Linked DNA regions of Coturnix japonica. The protein of the gene in region 2 interacts with the protein of the main gene of each other region in a pairwise test. Links are inferred from orthologs where the notes say so. Each region holds a gene or a part of one and is shown on either strand. Other genes may lie near its edges. The genes, in order: KLHL40, TASOR2, PRKAB2 and NEK6.

What was found.
Region 1: the proteins of TASOR2 (region 2) and KLHL40 interact in binary tests that used the Homo sapiens proteins (3 or more experiments, as listed by UniProt). The two-hybrid records come from large-scale screens. The link is inferred for Coturnix japonica from reciprocal best matches to the Homo sapiens genes TASOR2 and KLHL40.
Region 3: the proteins of TASOR2 (region 2) and PRKAB2 interact in binary tests that used the Homo sapiens proteins (3 or more experiments, as listed by UniProt). The link is inferred for Coturnix japonica from reciprocal best matches to the Homo sapiens genes TASOR2 and PRKAB2.
Region 4: the proteins of TASOR2 (region 2) and NEK6 interact in binary tests that used the Homo sapiens proteins (3 or more experiments, as listed by UniProt). The link is inferred for Coturnix japonica from reciprocal best matches to the Homo sapiens genes TASOR2 and NEK6.

What each region holds. Positions count from the first base shown.
Region 1 is NC_029517.1:1,772,261-1,775,220, reverse strand, and holds part of KLHL40 (kelch-like protein 40), read left to right. Parts: coding exon 1-75; intron 76-698; coding exon 699-810; 3' UTR 811-2,960. UniProt on the Homo sapiens protein: Substrate-specific adapter of a BCR (BTB-CUL3-RBX1) E3 ubiquitin ligase complex that acts as a key regulator of skeletal muscle development.
Region 2 is NC_029516.1:1,091,072-1,094,805, reverse strand, and holds part of TASOR2 (protein TASOR 2), read left to right. Parts: intron 1-52; coding exon 53-557; intron 558-1,444; coding exon 1,445-3,734.
Region 3 is NC_029523.1:4,167,912-4,172,436, forward strand, and holds the start of PRKAB2 (5'-AMP-activated protein kinase subunit beta-2), read right to left. Parts: upstream 3,014-4,525; 5' UTR 2,939-3,013; intron 2,432-2,938; exon of another isoform or gene 1,793-2,431; 5' UTR 1,777-1,792; coding exon 1,615-1,776; intron 1,289-1,614; coding exon 1,122-1,288; intron 218-1,121; coding exon 124-217; intron 1-123. Other genes in the region: dimethylaniline monooxygenase [N-oxide-forming] 5-like, read right to left, coding at 3,312-3,675, 3,750-3,822, 4,153-4,502. UniProt on the Homo sapiens protein: Non-catalytic subunit of AMP-activated protein kinase (AMPK), an energy sensor protein kinase that plays a key role in regulating cellular energy metabolism.
Region 4 is NC_029532.1:7,814,263-7,818,593, forward strand, and holds the start of NEK6 (serine/threonine-protein kinase Nek6), read left to right. Parts: upstream 1-1,455; 5' UTR 1,456-1,470; coding exon 1,471-1,624; intron 1,625-4,331. UniProt on the Homo sapiens protein: Protein kinase which plays an important role in mitotic cell cycle progression. Required for chromosome segregation at metaphase-anaphase transition, robust mitotic spindle formation and cytokinesis.

The DNA.
Region 1 (2,960 bases), on a different chromosome or scaffold from region 2:
CCTGCTTGGAGGGTTTGCCACGGTGGAGACGGAGTCTGGGGAGCTGGTGCCAACAGAGCTGAACGACGTCTGGAGGTGATGACTTTCCCTGGGGCTCTCCATGGGAGATGGGGGATGTTACTCACCAAGGAAACAGATAGTCTTGGTCTTTATCCCTTCAGTCTGAGGGAGATGCTGCTACCCCATCACAAGGCTGCAGGCTCAGCAAGAGGTCTCTGGTTGAGATGTGTGCTTTGTACTGTGCTGGAGGGCACGTTAGGTGATTTGGTGATTTCTCCCAGCCTCCAATAGAGAAATAGCAGGAAAAATCTTCTTTCTCCTGAATTGCTATTTTGTTTGGAGCTGGTTCCACATCTCCCCTTTGTCTTGAAGCAGTGTTTCTGCAATGAACGCTCTCCTTGAGAAAAGCCAGAGCTTGGGCTGGAAACCAGATTGTCCTACATGAGAGCAGAGACAGAAAGCACTTTCTAACAGCTGCTCACACAGGATTAGCTCCCATCCCCCAGGTCTGTGGATGTAGAGCACCCTCAGCAGGCATTTCCTGGCCTTCACCACAGATCTTCCATCTTGGTGATACCAACCCATACCCCAGGGTTCCAGCAGCTGCGTTGTAGCCAGGTGTTGTGGAGGTGGGGGGTTTATAAGGTGCGGAGAGGGGATGCTTTCCTCACCATAGCTGTCTGTCTGTCTCTCCCCAGATACGATGAAGAGCAGAAGAAGTGGGAAGGGGTCCTCCGTGAGATCCAATACGCCTCTGGTGCCACTTTCCTTCCCGTGCGCCTCAATGTTTTGCGGCTGACGAAGATGTAGCACCATTTCCTTTCTTCAGTGGGCAGGGAGGGACAGGGAGCAGTAGGAGATGCTGTTTCTCTATATACTGTGTAGGACATTGTGTCTGTGATTGGTACCATTTCACTGAGACAAATGGGAGAGGGGGAAAATTAACTTGAAGCCTTAAATTTGCTGGGGCTCACACGGTAACTAAAAAAGGACTTTAGAGCATGTGAGGAGCTGGGGAAGACTAACAGACATGGAGCAATACGCTAATCCAGTCTCAGCTGGCAGAACAAAGAGATTCTACTCTTGTTCCACTTCTTTCTCTTAGTTTTTTCCAGTCTTCTCCAGCCATCAGTGGAGGTAGAAGAGGGTTCTGAAGGCATTAAGCTGATGTTTCTCCAGACAAAAGGGTCTCTGATATGTTTCTTCACCTAAGGTAGCTGCAGGTGTGGTGCTACAAATCACTTCAGAGGGAAAAGGGAGGTGGTGCAGGTCAGATCTGGGGGACTCTGAGAGTTCCCACGTGGTGAAGGTCATTGGGATGAGACAGTTAAAAGAAAACAGGCATGTTGGCAGTGGGGGCAAAAATTCCTTCAACACTGCAATGAACAGGAAAAAAAATAGTTATTCACCTCCATCCTGACTTTGCACTGAAGGGATGCAAGGAGGTGAGGGCTGCAAGAGGGGCTATGGGTGTGACGCTCATCTCCATCCCCTAGAGCTCCTCGTGGTCTATCACAGATTACAATGTCCTCATGTATCAAGGGACAAGTGCTTTTCTTCAGGGAAAGGTTTTTTATTTATGCTTTCATTTTTATTGTCACAAACTTTTTTTTCTTTTTTTTTTTAAAGCACTGTTTTAATTTGCAGAATTCTTGGAGATCTCAGCAGCGTTTGGCTCAAAGAGAGCTTCCTGCTGAGTCAAAACGCACTGTGTTCTGTTTTGTTTTTGTTTTTTTTTTAAGTGATCATGATGATTTTTTGTTAGAAACACGACTGTGCCAGCAGCAGGACAGAGATGTGTAGTTAGACCAGAAATCTAACGATGATGTCCATGCTGTATGACCAGCAATTCACTTCAGAATAAATCTTGAAAATATTTATCCCCAAATTTCCTTTCTCTGAATGTTGATGGAGCTGTAAATGGATGCCCACAGCAACCGCATGCAAGGGCTGAGCAAAAGCTGTGATGAATGCATGGAGAAATCCAGCCCCATGGGGAGCCCCAGCTTCTACAGTTCTGATTTTTCCCCATTTCAGAGCAGAACCTTTAGTGTTCATGTCCTAAAAGCTTTTCTCAGTAGACATGAGGACTAGAAACTTGTCTAGGAAGAGAAATACCAGCTGGATGCCTCCATCATCACACGGTGCAACAAACAGGGTTGATGGTAATGAAGAAGAACAAATACAGATCTTGTAAATAAATGCCCTCAAAGCAGCACGAACACTGATATCAGAAGTCTGGCTGATTTGACTAGATTAAAATGCTGTCTTGAGAAGCTAAAATGAGTTTGGAAGTAAAGACAATTTTCCATGAGTAAAGGAGCCAGAGACTCGTTCTGCCTTCATTGTAAGGAGATTTTCTAAGAAGAGTTATGGGATAATCTCCTTAGAAGATGATTATGTCAGAAGAGCAATGAAACATTTTCACAAGAAAAATAAATCCGAAGTGACTGGCTGGCATCTGATAGCATTAAAAAGGAGGGGGAAAAGGAAACCAACTAAAATGTTCAAAATAACCAAACATGAAAAAAAACCTGTGGCCAAATAAATGAATAAAAAAATGGTCACCCTCCATCCAGTTCTGGAGAAATTCCCATGGAAGAGTCCCAAAGTAATACAGTGACTTGTTGCAGAAGTGGAAAGTGGTCCTGAGAGAGGGTTCTTCCCCATGGAGGTTCAGCTGCTCCTGGGGGAAATGTGGGCCCTTTGAAGCCAGTGGTGTGGCCCTTTGCAGTCAATGGGAGCACTGTTGTGTCTCAGTAATTAGTGGTCCCTCGATAATGGCTTGAGAAGCAGTGATTAAGCCCAGCCAGCATCCTGGTCTGCATCCTCAGCTGCTCACCTTGCACTGTCTGTTGGGAGTTTGGTTAATAGGAGCTGAGCACTCCCATGTTGTTCACATCCATTAAATGCTTTAGGAGGTAACACCCTTAGAACAGAGCAAGAGAAGATAAAATGGC
Region 2 (3,734 bases):
TTTCAACTCAAACGATTCCATGACTTCAGGCTGTGTTTGCTTTCTCTTCCAGGCCCTGGGACTGTGATCTACCCGATGATGTGGAAGAGATGAAGCTGATACTTCACATGTGGGTAGCTCTATTCTACAGCAAGCCCAGTGAACTCTTTAGCAGCACGAGGAAAGTGGTGAAGCACAGCAACCCCAAGAAATACGTCTCCTTAAACAGCACTGGAGACTTCTTTGAGCTGAGTGAAGACAGCGATGATTGCTTCGAGTTGGAGACGTGCCCTGCGGATTCACGGTCAGACCCTGACCAGACTCCTAGAAGCTCTCTGGATCCCAGCACACACTGCCAGGGCTGTTTCCACCCGGAGAAGAGCGCTGCAGACTCTCAGACTGATGCTGATGGGACTCCTGGTGTTGTTGATAGTACGGTATCATCCTCTTCAGGGGAGGAGGAGCCTTCCTCCACCAGCCCAGAGAGCCCTTCCCTCACTGAACATGCAGATCAGAGCAACCCGGCTGGGAAAGACAGAACTGAGAAGTGTGTGCATGACGTCTCAACTATCACTGCAGTAAGAGCTTGGGGTGTGGGTGCTACAAGCCAGCAGGGCGCACAGTGCATTTTGTGCTTGTGCAAGTAGGTTCTTGTGGGTGGAATGGAGCAGATGTGCCTGTGAGCTCTCTTGGGGCGATGTAGTTGGGCTCTCTGAAGCATGATACATGAAAGTCATTCAGCAGTTTGCTGCCCTATGCACACATACTCAGAGTTCTCAGAGGCCTCAATTCCAGTTCACTCTGAGCTGGTATCCCTGGGCTCTGAGGGAAGCCGTATCCATCACTGACTGAGAGAACAGGGACACGATGTGCAGGAATCCCAAAGGATTGGAGCGAGTAAATATCAGATTTCTCAAGGCCATATAAACACAAGCACCTTCTCTCCAGGGTCTGAGCAAACCCTCAATCACTGGACTTCTCCAGACCCCAGAGAGAAGACTAGTGAGCAAACAAACCCTCAGTCACTGGAGATCCAGCATGGCTCAGTTTGTTTTTATCAGTATAAAGGTCTCTATTAGAAATCTACTCTTAAGTGAGGGAGAAGGAAAACCAGAACTACCCCAAGATGGGGTTTCAAAAGCCTGCCTGTCTCCTCTGGGCATTTTCCAGCCTGTGATGGATCCTTATTGAGATCTCTGCACAGTTTGGTCTGTTTTTACGCCTCTTCACTGTATATAGAAGATAAAAAGCTTCATATCCTTTCCCTGGCTGTCTGTGGCCATGGTAGTGACTCCTGTCTGATAAAGATTCAAGCCAGACTTATTTGGGAGGCAAACTTATCTCCACAGATGCCACTGGGGTGGTTGTACTGACAAAGTTTGAGTTGTTAGAATATCCATGTCCTCGCACATGGGGTTTCTCAGTTCCTATCTTTAAGGTTAACCTCTGGCTTATGTTGTTTCAGGTTGAGCCACTCAAGGAGGAGCTGAGGGATGCTGAGATGACCCCCAGCCCTTCTGAGGAGCTTGGCGATGCTGGTGAACCCCAGGCTGTGCTGGGCAGGGAAAACCCACGTGGCCAAACCCTGAATTTTAGCCCAGCTCCCCAGAGTGCTGCCCTGTGTGCTCAGCATGGAGGTGGAGAGCAGCCAGAGAGCATGGGGGCAGCGTGCTCAAGGGGTGACCACAGTCCACGTTCCTGTGATTCGATGCCCTCAGAAGCAAGTCTCAAAACTCACTCAAACCTCATTGGGCTTGGTGAAGAAGAGAGGGAATCACAAGAGCCCATAGGACGTAGTGAAAAAGAGGAGGAAGAGGTGGAGGAAGGAAAAAGAGAGAAGGAAGACTCTGAAAATGAAAGCACGATCACAAGGCCTGTTGATTTAGCATTTTCAGAAAGAGGTGATGGAGAGCTGGTGAATTCAGCACCTCCAAAGCCCTCAGGGGCTATGGCCACTCCAAATGCAGGGGCAAATAGCATTGGTTTGGCATGTACAGATGATCCTGTGTCAGTGCTGCCATTGTCCCCCAGTCAAAACCTTGTTTGTGGGGTTACCGTTACGAGCAGCTCCCGACTTGCCAGCGAGGTGCTCAGGGATGGTTTGGAGCAGAAAGACGAGGATTGTGCGCCCTCTGCAGAAACATGGGTGCTTGCTGGGAGCAAAGCTGCCTGCACAGCTGGCCCTGAGTCACCACGAGACCAGGGACCCTTCCTAACCCTGTCCCCTGACTCCAGCATCTGCTCTGATGGAGGAACTGATATGGGAGCTGCTCCAGAGAACCAGGTGGCCGCAACTCTCCTCCAAACTCCACCAAGGGGTGGCCCAGGAGGGAGCCTTTCCCAAAGGTCTTCAGGTGATAGTGCTGAGCTCACGTTGCTGAGTGCTGCTGAGAAGCCCCCTAAGAGCAATGAAACGAGCACAGCTGATGCACCACAGGAACTGAAGACCTCTCTGTGTGACCTGTTAGATTCTTCCTCCTCAGTGAGAGAAGAGGAGCCTGTTGGTGATATACCACCTCTTGCTGTGGCCCAGCACCAGCAGAGCTCTCCAAACAGCCCATCCCTGCCTTCCCCCCATCAGGACCCTTCTCCCCACGGTACTGCTGCAGACACCTGTTGCTGCTTATTAAAGCAAAGTGAGCAGGAACCAGACTTGTGCCCACATGGAAAGCCTTGCAAGACAGTGGTTGCTGCAGCGCTGAGTGTGGCTGCTGAGAACCCAGCTCTGAGTGGCTCCTTGAAGCCTGAATGTGCAGAAGGAGCGAAGAAGGACTTGGGGCTGTGCCATGCAGAGTCTACAGAGAGCTCTCCTCTGGATATACTCACACCTGAAGAGCCAGGATCAAGGCCTTGTTCTCCTCTGCATGGCCATGAGACTGAGCCAGACCCAGTCATTGGTGTGGACCCCAAAATGAGTCCAGCTCCTGCTCCAGATGCTGCCCTGAGCTCCAGCTGTGTGGAACAGCTACCACCAGATGCTGACAGCAAGTGTGCCTGCCCAGGGAGCCCTAAGGAATGCGAGGGAGGAAACAGCATCCCTCCTGCCCCCCCTGCATCATCTGGAGCAGGGGAGTTGTTCATGCCTATGGGAGAGCCCACGTTTTTGTGCAGCCAGGGTGACTCCGCTGTGTTGGCTGATCCGCACTGTGCTGATGAAGAGCTGGAAGAGGGAGAAATCCCTGTTCTGCCAATCCCAACATCACAGCTATGTGCAGATTCTGGAGAGAGCTCAGTGGTTAGTGACACTGGGGTCATTTTGGATGCTCTCCTGAAGGCAAAATGCCTCCCCAGCACAGAAAAATATGTGGGTTTGAGCTGGGAAGATCCATCCTACAGGTCCTCCTCCAGTGACTCAGACTGGGAGAAGCACTTGGGACGCACTTCCCACCCCCTTCTTAAGCCCAGGTGTTGCCATTGCTTGAGGTCCATGGGTGCCACAAGGACTGACTGCGATTCCTCATCCTCTATAAGCTTGGGATGCTCAGAGGGATGCAGCGAGGAGTGGGGATCCCTGAGCACTGAGGAGGGCTGCTGGTGGCCCACCAGCCAATGGAACACCAGCAGCAGACACGTGCCACCCTATGTCAATATCACGGACAGCCGGGGGATCTCCAGGGATTACCTGAACTTCATGGTCACCACAAAATGCCCAGGCAGGATGGGAAGCTCACAAGGACAGACTCATTTACGGGAGTCACTGATGGGGACGTGGAAAGGTTTTGAAGAAATCACCCAGCACACTTTGGACATGGAGC
Region 3 (4,525 bases), on a different chromosome or scaffold from region 2:
GCCTGAGCTGCCTTTCTTACGCCATTACCCCTCTGCCCTTTCTACTTCCCCTCTACTGAGTTTACATCATGTTTTGGGCCCCAAAGAGGTCAAGACTTGCAGTGATAAAGCTTTGAGAGTTACCTCGGATGGGTCGTGGACCCACTGGCCATCCACAAAAAACTTGTACTGGTGCTCTCCTTCTGGGAGGTCCAGGATAGCAACGAAGTCGTTGTGGCTGTGCAGAGAGAACAGATGTACAACACCATTACTGCAGTGATGCTTTGGATGCTGTCCCAGAGAAGAGCACTTTGTCATGCACTGCCTGCCCCCTCGACCCAAACACCCATGTGCTGGGTTAGGATTGCTCATCACTCAAGGCATGGCCAGAGCAGGTGCGAGTGCCCAGAGCCCCAGGATGATTCAGATCCCTCAGGGCCCATAGAATCGTAGACTCATTAGGGTTGGAAAAAAACACTAAGATCATCTGTTCCAATCAGGACACAAGGCAAACAGGAGCTCAGCTTGCAGCCCTGCCCCACACATCGTGTGGGATCACATGATGGCAAGTGCAAGACACACTGGACAGGGCGAGTGAACAACGAATCTAAACCTGTGCTGGTACTGCAGGATGAAAGCATGAAGTGCCTGTGAAGTCTGCAGTCGAGATAATCCCGTGGCAGGTATTTGCTGGGATTATGCCCAGTCCTACATAGTGTTTCCACAGAAAACACAGGTGTACTGCAGAACAACGAGGACACTGCTATGGAAGGAGGACAGGTGAGGGACAACCAAACAACTCCCTCTAGCAGCAACACAAGCAGGCAAGGAGAAGGGCCACCAAGCTTCAGAGAGCTGCAGCACACCTGGGCAGGGCCCTGCTGCCAGGATGGCTGCTGTGTGGCATGTAATTGGGAAAGCAAGGAGGCCCATCCTGTCCTGTCCCATTTCACAGTTTCTCCCTACCACTGCAGCAGCCCCCAGGCAGGATGCTGGCTGCATATTTGTGCTCACACCTCGAGCTCGGGCATGATGAACTGTGAGAAGCCAGGTTGGGCAAAGGGAACAGCAAATGGCACTGAGAAAAACGCTCCCTGCGACTGATGGAGGAGAACACGGGGTGAGCCAAGGGGTATAGCTACCTCTTGATGAGCGGGATCTTGGTGCTCCAGTTGTTGAAGGATCCAGAGATGAAGACCTCTTTGCCTCCATCAGCCCAGCGGATGACAGTGGGCCGAGCCTGCTGGGATGGCTTCACTGACTCCTCCAGGTCAGGCTGCCATGAAACAAACTCCTTGTCCCCTGGAATCTGAGCAGAGAACACCAGAGCCGTTTCATTTCCCTCCACCTCCATTTGCACATTGCAGACAATAGTAACCTCAGGCTGGGCAGGCAGCTCCACCCATCCATCCCAGGAGATGTTTCTCCTGTGTTGCAGCTCAGCTTGTGGTTCCTGCTATGAAAGCTGTACCCCGGCACACTGCCACCCTGCCTGTATTTAGCTTGAATTAAACAGAGGGCTGCTCCCAACCAAAAATCCTCTCCTTGAAAGCAGCCTCAGCCCAGCACAGCCCCCTATGGGACACCACCCAGCACCCGACGTGAGGACAACAAAGGCAGCAGCCAGCCCCCTACCTTGGAGTCGTGGGAGCTGAAAACACTGGGGTCATCTGTGCTGCCCACCATGATCTTGTGTGGGTGCTCCTTTGTGGGATGGGCAGCGCCGGAGCCGTCGGAGCGGTGGGACTTGGAGCCATGGCGCTCACCGGACACTCGCTCGCTGGTGGTGTTTCCCATGACAGCTCAGCAGCCGCTGTGAGAGGGGGAAGAAGGCAGTGTTGCCTATGTCCGTGGGCTCCAGCAGGGAGCAGGGTGCTGCTTCCCGCTGCCTTTTGCCAGCACAGAGTGACAGCAATCCTAAAAAAGGCCCAAAGTTCTTCCCCGATGCCAAGTTTGGGAGCCGAAGGGGAATTTAACAAGCGAGACAGGCTGAACTAATTATAGGCATACCCTTATGAGCCATCGTGATAGTTAAGCCGGTAATTGTTATACCCTAAAACAAAAGTGAGTTAGACCACATCCTACACAAGTAGAAGGGCTGATGAGAGAAATAAAGCCACCCTTGAGTGGCAGATTGTCTCCCGGCACTAACAGAGCCTCTTTCACAACCCCACAGTCAGCCTGCACAGAACACAACGCTACAGCCAGCAGGAAAACAGCCGGAGAGTGAAAGTAGCAGCTGTTAACAGCTCCCAACGAGTGTGGGTGAGCCTGCGGGCAGAGCAGCACGGCTTCACGGCTGGCACAGCAACAGTGCTGCAAGTAGCAGGAGTGGAATCGGCCAGGCTGGAGTGCGGCCAGGGCAAGGAGTAACAACACGGTGTGTGCAGGCTGTGCTGCTGAGCAGGCTGCGCTCATAGCCGACCCCAGGGCTGCGTGTCTGCCCAGCGCCGGGCGATACATGGGCTGAGCCCATCGCTGGGGCAGCCGGCTGTGTTCTGCAGGGAGCCAGCCTTGATTCACTGGGTGCGTTGTGACAGCTGCGGATTTGCTTAGAACATCAAGCTATGTGCGGAGGGCCGGGTGAGGCCGCCAGCCAAAGCCTGGCTTTAAACCATTACGGGGCAATTACTCGAGTATTCCTTAAGCCCTCAGAGGGCAGCGAGCCCACGGCTCACCCCACGGCAACGATGAGATGTGCAGGGCCGCTGCAGCACCGCCCGGCACAGTGCCGGCCATAGCGGTGTCACCGGGCGCGGCGTTACGGTACCAACGGCACCGACACCCGCACCACCGCCCACAGCGTCACCCCCCGCACCGCCGCCCTGACAGCCCCACCCCCTGCCGCCTCCTGTCCGCTCCGGGCCCCCCGCCCCGCCGTGACACCCAGCACCCAACCCGGCCCCACAGCACACGGGGGCAGCGCAGCCCCCCATGGCAGCCCCGCTCGCAGCCCCACCTGCCCGCCGCCGCCGCCGCCGCCCCGCTCTCCGCCTCCGATCAAAATGGCGGCCGCCTCCACCGCCAGCCTCTGCGGGGCGCTCTGTCCCGCCCCCGCGCTGCTCTCTATGGTACCGGGCAGCCATTTTGTTTGAGGGCGGTGTGGCTTCCGGGAGAGCGGCCATCTTTGCTGTGGGAGCGCGGCCTGGTGCGAGTAGTTTGCGTTGTGCAGTGCGGGCGTTAATGAGCGCAGCCCAGAGCCTGAGCCTTCATGGAGAACAAGGACGAGCTTTATTGCCTTTCTCATGAGGAAAACGTGCCCCGTGCCCCTCCCAGCGACACCGAAACCCAAGGCAGAGTTAGGGGATGGCCAAAGCCCTCTTCACTAGGGGCTATGGGGACAGCGAGACGTAGATGAGCGTGGCCACGATGAGTCCGAGGCTGAAGAGGACCTTGAAGCTGTGTGGCACCGAGCTGCAGGGCGGCACAGAGCGGCCGTGCCCGGCCCTGCCCCGCAGCGGGTGCTCCACGCGCTGCTGCTGAGTCAGGATGGCCTCCCGCGCACCCTGCCATGCGCCGGGGCCATGCAGGCGGTACTGGTAGGGCGTGCAGGGCCCCAGCAGCACCTCCAGCGCCAGCCTGGGGTCAGTGAGGAAAAGCAGCGGCACGTTGGGCTTGACGCCCAGCTGGCAGGCGAGCTCGTCCATGTAGGGGATGTAATCCACCTGGATGGTGTGCCGCCGGCTGGCCACGTACCTGTGGGCAGGGACAGGCTCTGTGTGTGCTCATCGAGGAGGTGGTGGCAGGTTGGTGCCCCGCAGGGTTCTTACCGCTTGGCTATTTTCTCCTTGGCTTGTGTGATGTCAGCCAACATGGTGCTGGTTGGGGGCAGCTTGTGCAGACCTACAGAAGGAGAAGCAGAGAGCTGTGCTATCAGCAGTTGTGTCCCTCTGCGCCCAGCGTGGCTGCTGTGCCACAGGAAAAGCCTTTGGGCCACCAAATGGGGCAAGAGAGAGGCATGGGCAAAGAAATAAGAGAGAGAAAATGGTTTGCAGGTGAGGAGATCCATTACCAGCTGTATGTGATGAAATAAAGTGCAACACTTGTTGCAAAATGCAGTGATGTTTTATATCCCTTCATAGAAGGATGATAAAAGGAGGAGCACATGCCAGCAACTGAATAATTTGGCCTTGCCATACCCAGAGAAGTGCATTCCCGGCTCGCCTCGCTTACCCTTAAAGACACGGGTGGCCCAGCGGCTCTGCATCTCCGAGATGGGCATGATGGCTCCCAGAGGCTGGATGTAGCCAATGAAAGCCAGCGTCGGCTTCTCCAGGTCAACTGGGAACATAAACTTGTAGAGGGGGACCTGATTCTCCACCACCTTCACATAGTCCTCAAGGAAGGGGAAGGAGAAGCTGTACCCTGTGGCAAAGACTACAGCATCGATGTTTTCCTTAGTGCCATCCTCAAAGATGGCAGATGTCTCCGTGAACTCCTTGATGTTTGGCTTCACCCGCACCCTGCCCGAAATGACACGGTTGGGCAGGTCGTCGTTGATGGTCAGGTGCTGGTTGAAGACCCTGGTGAGAACAAACAGAGCTCA
Region 4 (4,331 bases), on a different chromosome or scaffold from region 2:
GAAGGACTGAAAACACTGGTTTGCGAGGCTGTGCTTGAGGAGTTAGCAGCGTGGGTTAATCGAGTTAATTAGAAACTCCACTAAGGTTTAGGAGCCCAGCTTTGCTGAGCTGCCATATCTAAGGCTAGCTTGAATCAGGCTGCACACTGAAATTCTTACTCTTGTGTAACGTGTCTGAGATAACTTTGTGGTTTGAAAACGGTGTATGTAACATGTTGTTTTCTGTTTGGTTCTACAACAAAACAAAACTGGGTTTAAGACAGAGCAGTAGTGTTGCTGTCACTCGGTCTGTGAGCCGTGAGCAGCTGTACTGAGCTGTGGGCAGCTGGGAGCTGTTGTCCATGGGCAGCAGCTTCAGTCCCCTCTCTCCTGTTGGGAAGAGCTGCAGAACAGGATGTGGCCAAGGCTGCTGCTGGGAGCCTCAGCCTTGTTGAAGGCCCTCTGCATATCTGCGTGCACTTAAAATTCCTTAAAATTTACAGAACTTACATCTAAAATTGCAGGCAGAGTGGTTTTAATTTGTATAGGAGATGTAATAAAGGCATTGGATGTGTTGTATTATAGAAAGATCTGTATGTATGACTGCATAATGGAACCTCTCGAGCGAATGCCTTACACAGGCTGGTACTTGTGCTCTGGGAAGTACAGAGGGTTGTGCCTGGGCAGCAGCTCTGTTTCTTATGGCTCTGGGCAGAAGGTTTCCTGGCACTGGGAAAAGCCCCGGCCCCTATTGGTCCCCATCCACCACTCACAAGAAACAGCTGCAGGTGCAAGGTGGATCCCCTCCTTTCCCCAAAGCATGTGATGGAAGCACATGGAGGATGGGTTTGTGTTTACCTGCGCTTACATGCTTGCCCGTGGGTTTAAATGATGTGCTGGTACTGCTGGGTTCATGCTCCAGCATTGTCACTTATTAACATAACAGAGTCATTACGCACAGAGCGGAATGTGGCACTGAATGGTTTCTGTGTGTTGCACGGAGCTCGTGCGTTCAGTTACGAGTTTCTCAAAAGGTTGATTCCCAGCTTCTCGTCAGAACATTCTGTGCAGGCCTCTGCAGCAAGAAAAATTGGACCCAATTTAAATAGACAGTCTTGTGAATCCTGAAAGAATTTGGGCATTTAGCCCAGGAAAGGGAGAGTTCTCTGCAAGAACTTCATTAACCCTGTCTGTCAGCAGAATAAGGAATCAAAGGAGCTGTGCAGACTTCCCGAAGAACAGATCTTCTTGTTCTGCCCCGCAGCCGCGATGTGCAGCGCTGATCCAGGAGCTGTGTCTGTGCCCTGGGGAGATGGAGCCAAGAGCAGGTTACACATAGAAGAGTGGCTGCTGTCAGTTCCAGATCTTCAGGAATGTGTAGGGAAAGACACCACTGTACTAGTATAGATGCTAATACAGTTGTCCTTACCGTATTTAGTGGAGGAAGGATCCAAACCTGTTTCTGATGTAGATGTTTTTGTAAGTAGAAAGATGTTAAACCTTTTTACCCTGGGAAGAGTTTCTGCTTCCGTTTGGCTGCTCCTGCAAGGTCCGGATACCGGGAAGCTCCTGCAGCATCTGGCTGCTGTGTCTGCAGCACGCAGCCTTTACGAGGTGGCTTTGAAGTTGCCTTTGGATTCGAATGGTATGAATCTTCAGATCGGCTGGGCTGCGTGGTCCTCAGCATCATTTCCTGTGACTTTTGATTATGAGGAATGTAAATACTTCAAGCTGTTGTCCTGATGTTTTGAAGTTGGATGTGCATATATGTATATATAAAAAAATCCCCTGGGTTCCTTTGCATGAGATCCAGGTGTGCTGGCTGCACGGACTGCAGCACAGAGCACCCCCCATGGCCACGCATGAGGTTACTGCAGGCAGGTGGAGAGATGTGGCAGTGTCTGGCAGGGAACAGATACAATATAAATATATTTCTAGCTCATATTTAATCTTTCCTTCATTGGAAATGAATGAGTTCTGAGGAGGATAACGTAAATGTTCTTAAATAATTTGGCTTCAGGCTTGAAAGCTCTATTGCATTATGAGTTAGAAGATAAGCATGTTGTTGCATGCTTAGTAAGCACCATGGTAAAATTCCAGGTAGATTGAGTATGTGTTTGTTTTCAGCATGTTTCCTTAATGCTAGTAGCAGCCTGCAAGGTCTGTCTCAGCTGTTTCAAAGACTGTGAAACCATAGAATCATAGAATGGCCTGGGTTGAAAAGGACCACAACGATCACCTTGCTTCAACCCCCTGCTATGTGCAGGGTCACCAACCACCAGACCAGGCTGCCCAGAGCCACATCCAGCCTGGCTTTGAATGCCTGCAGGGATGGGGCATCCACAGTCTCCTTGGGCAGCCCAGTGCTTTCAAGAGGCTCTGAATTGCACGAAGAAGAGTATGAATTATGTAGCCTTGCCTTGGCTTCACAGCATATCTGAGTGCTGGCTGGAGAAAAGCAGCCCGTTCTTGTTGGTCAGTAATTACTGTATTACCTGTCTTCAGAGGAACTGTTTTTCACTTTAAACGCAGCTGCCTGCTGTCCATACTCAATGTTGTATGTGAATATGCATTTGGTATTTATCTGCCCACAGTAGGAACGGTGTACACAAATATGTATGGGTGGTGGTGGCACAGTAGGAAGTTCTGTGCAGGGAAGGAAGTGCTAGGGCTGGTGGAGGGGAACATTTATCTCACTGTCCAAGTAATTCTTTATTCATAGCCATAAATCTCTGAGTATCCCTGGCATTGGTCTCTTGGGAGCCCTGTGAAGCCATCCCTTGTAATGAATGGATGGAGCTAAGTAGTGTTTCAAGTGTGTTTAGGTTCAGAAGACTTTTAGAAACAATTCTATCTCCTGGTCTGGGGCCGAGTTCTGAGGAGGTGACCAAAAAAATGGCACAAACAGCAAATATCTCACATTAAACCTATTGTGTGTTGTGTGCCACATGAAGAGGGTTTGCAAAAAAATAGTGCAGCAGCAAGGATCAATCAAATAAAAGGGAGAAGGAAATTGATCCGTGGTTGTTGCTGTGTTTGGAGCCATAGGGGACAGCATGCAGAGCTCATCCACATCATAGCCCTCTAAGCTGGAGTGGATGCTGCTGCATCGAGGAGCTGAGTGTGAAGGGAGGCAGGATGGAGACGTGGGAGATGCTGAACCAAAACTGGAAGCAAGCTGGTAGCTGCCTGCCTGCTTGGTGGTGGCAGTTAATGAAAGTAATAGCATGAAAACCTTCCTGTCAGACTTATCAGCTCAAGTACCCTCTTCAGGTGTATGGTATGGATGGAAAAAGGGGGATTTTGATGCAGAGAATGCTTGGAGAGTACTTTGAACTTGCACTATAGATTTGTCCCTGAACTAGACTAGAGAGTACTTGAAAAGATAATGTTACCACAATTGGGAATAAGCTCTGGGTAGCGTAAAGTTTGTTGACTTAATGTCATTTTGCTTCTAGGTATAGAACAGTGAATTACAGTGTCTGTCATGGCATTTGTTTAATGAATATCAGTTGTTGACATGAAGAAGCTGTAGGTCTTCTCAGCCATTTTGCTGCAGCATTCTTGGTGGGCTTGGGGTGTTCAGGAGGCCAGCACCCCGTTACTGCCCACTAAGGCTGTCCGGAGTAGGATCTCAACAAAAAGTCAGCATGAAATCTTAACACAGCGCTGTCAGGATAAGCACCGTCCCAGTGTGGGAGGCTCAGTGCTGCTCTGCAGGCAGGGGATGGGTGCTTCCATCACCTCGGCCTTGGGGGGCTTGGAACCACGGGTGCAGTTCTCACTGATGATTGTGCTTTGGTTTCCACACTACCTCTAAAACTAGGAATATGTAAATGTATAAGAGTACTTCAGTATTTTTGTTCTTAGATGTTGTTTCCATAGTGGGACCACTTGTAACTTGCATTCATGTGAGTTGGATGAAGATAACCTTCTGAAAGGCTTCAAAAACATCATCTGTTAAATGTCACTCATGTGCAGTTTGATTTAAAAAAACGCAGTGCAGTGTCCTTAGGACTTAAAACTATCGACAGTTTTAGTTTGAAGCACAACTGTTAGTTGTGTCTGATAGTCGATGCTTTGTTACTCACGGCACCAGAGCCGGGCTCTGCTGCTTGAAGCTTCCCTGTTTCCACAGATGGAGAAAGCCATTTCCTGCCTGCTGTGGTTTGTCCTTCAGAGGTTTTGTCATTCAGAATGAATGACATTTTTTAGATAGTATCTTAGCCCTTTGGTTATGGATGATGTTACTACGCCTAATATAAAGTTGTGTAACTGGGTGATATTAATATTGTTTTCAGGAGCTTGTTCACGCTTCCATGTATTTTATGCTTTCCTGGGCTCTTCAGGTG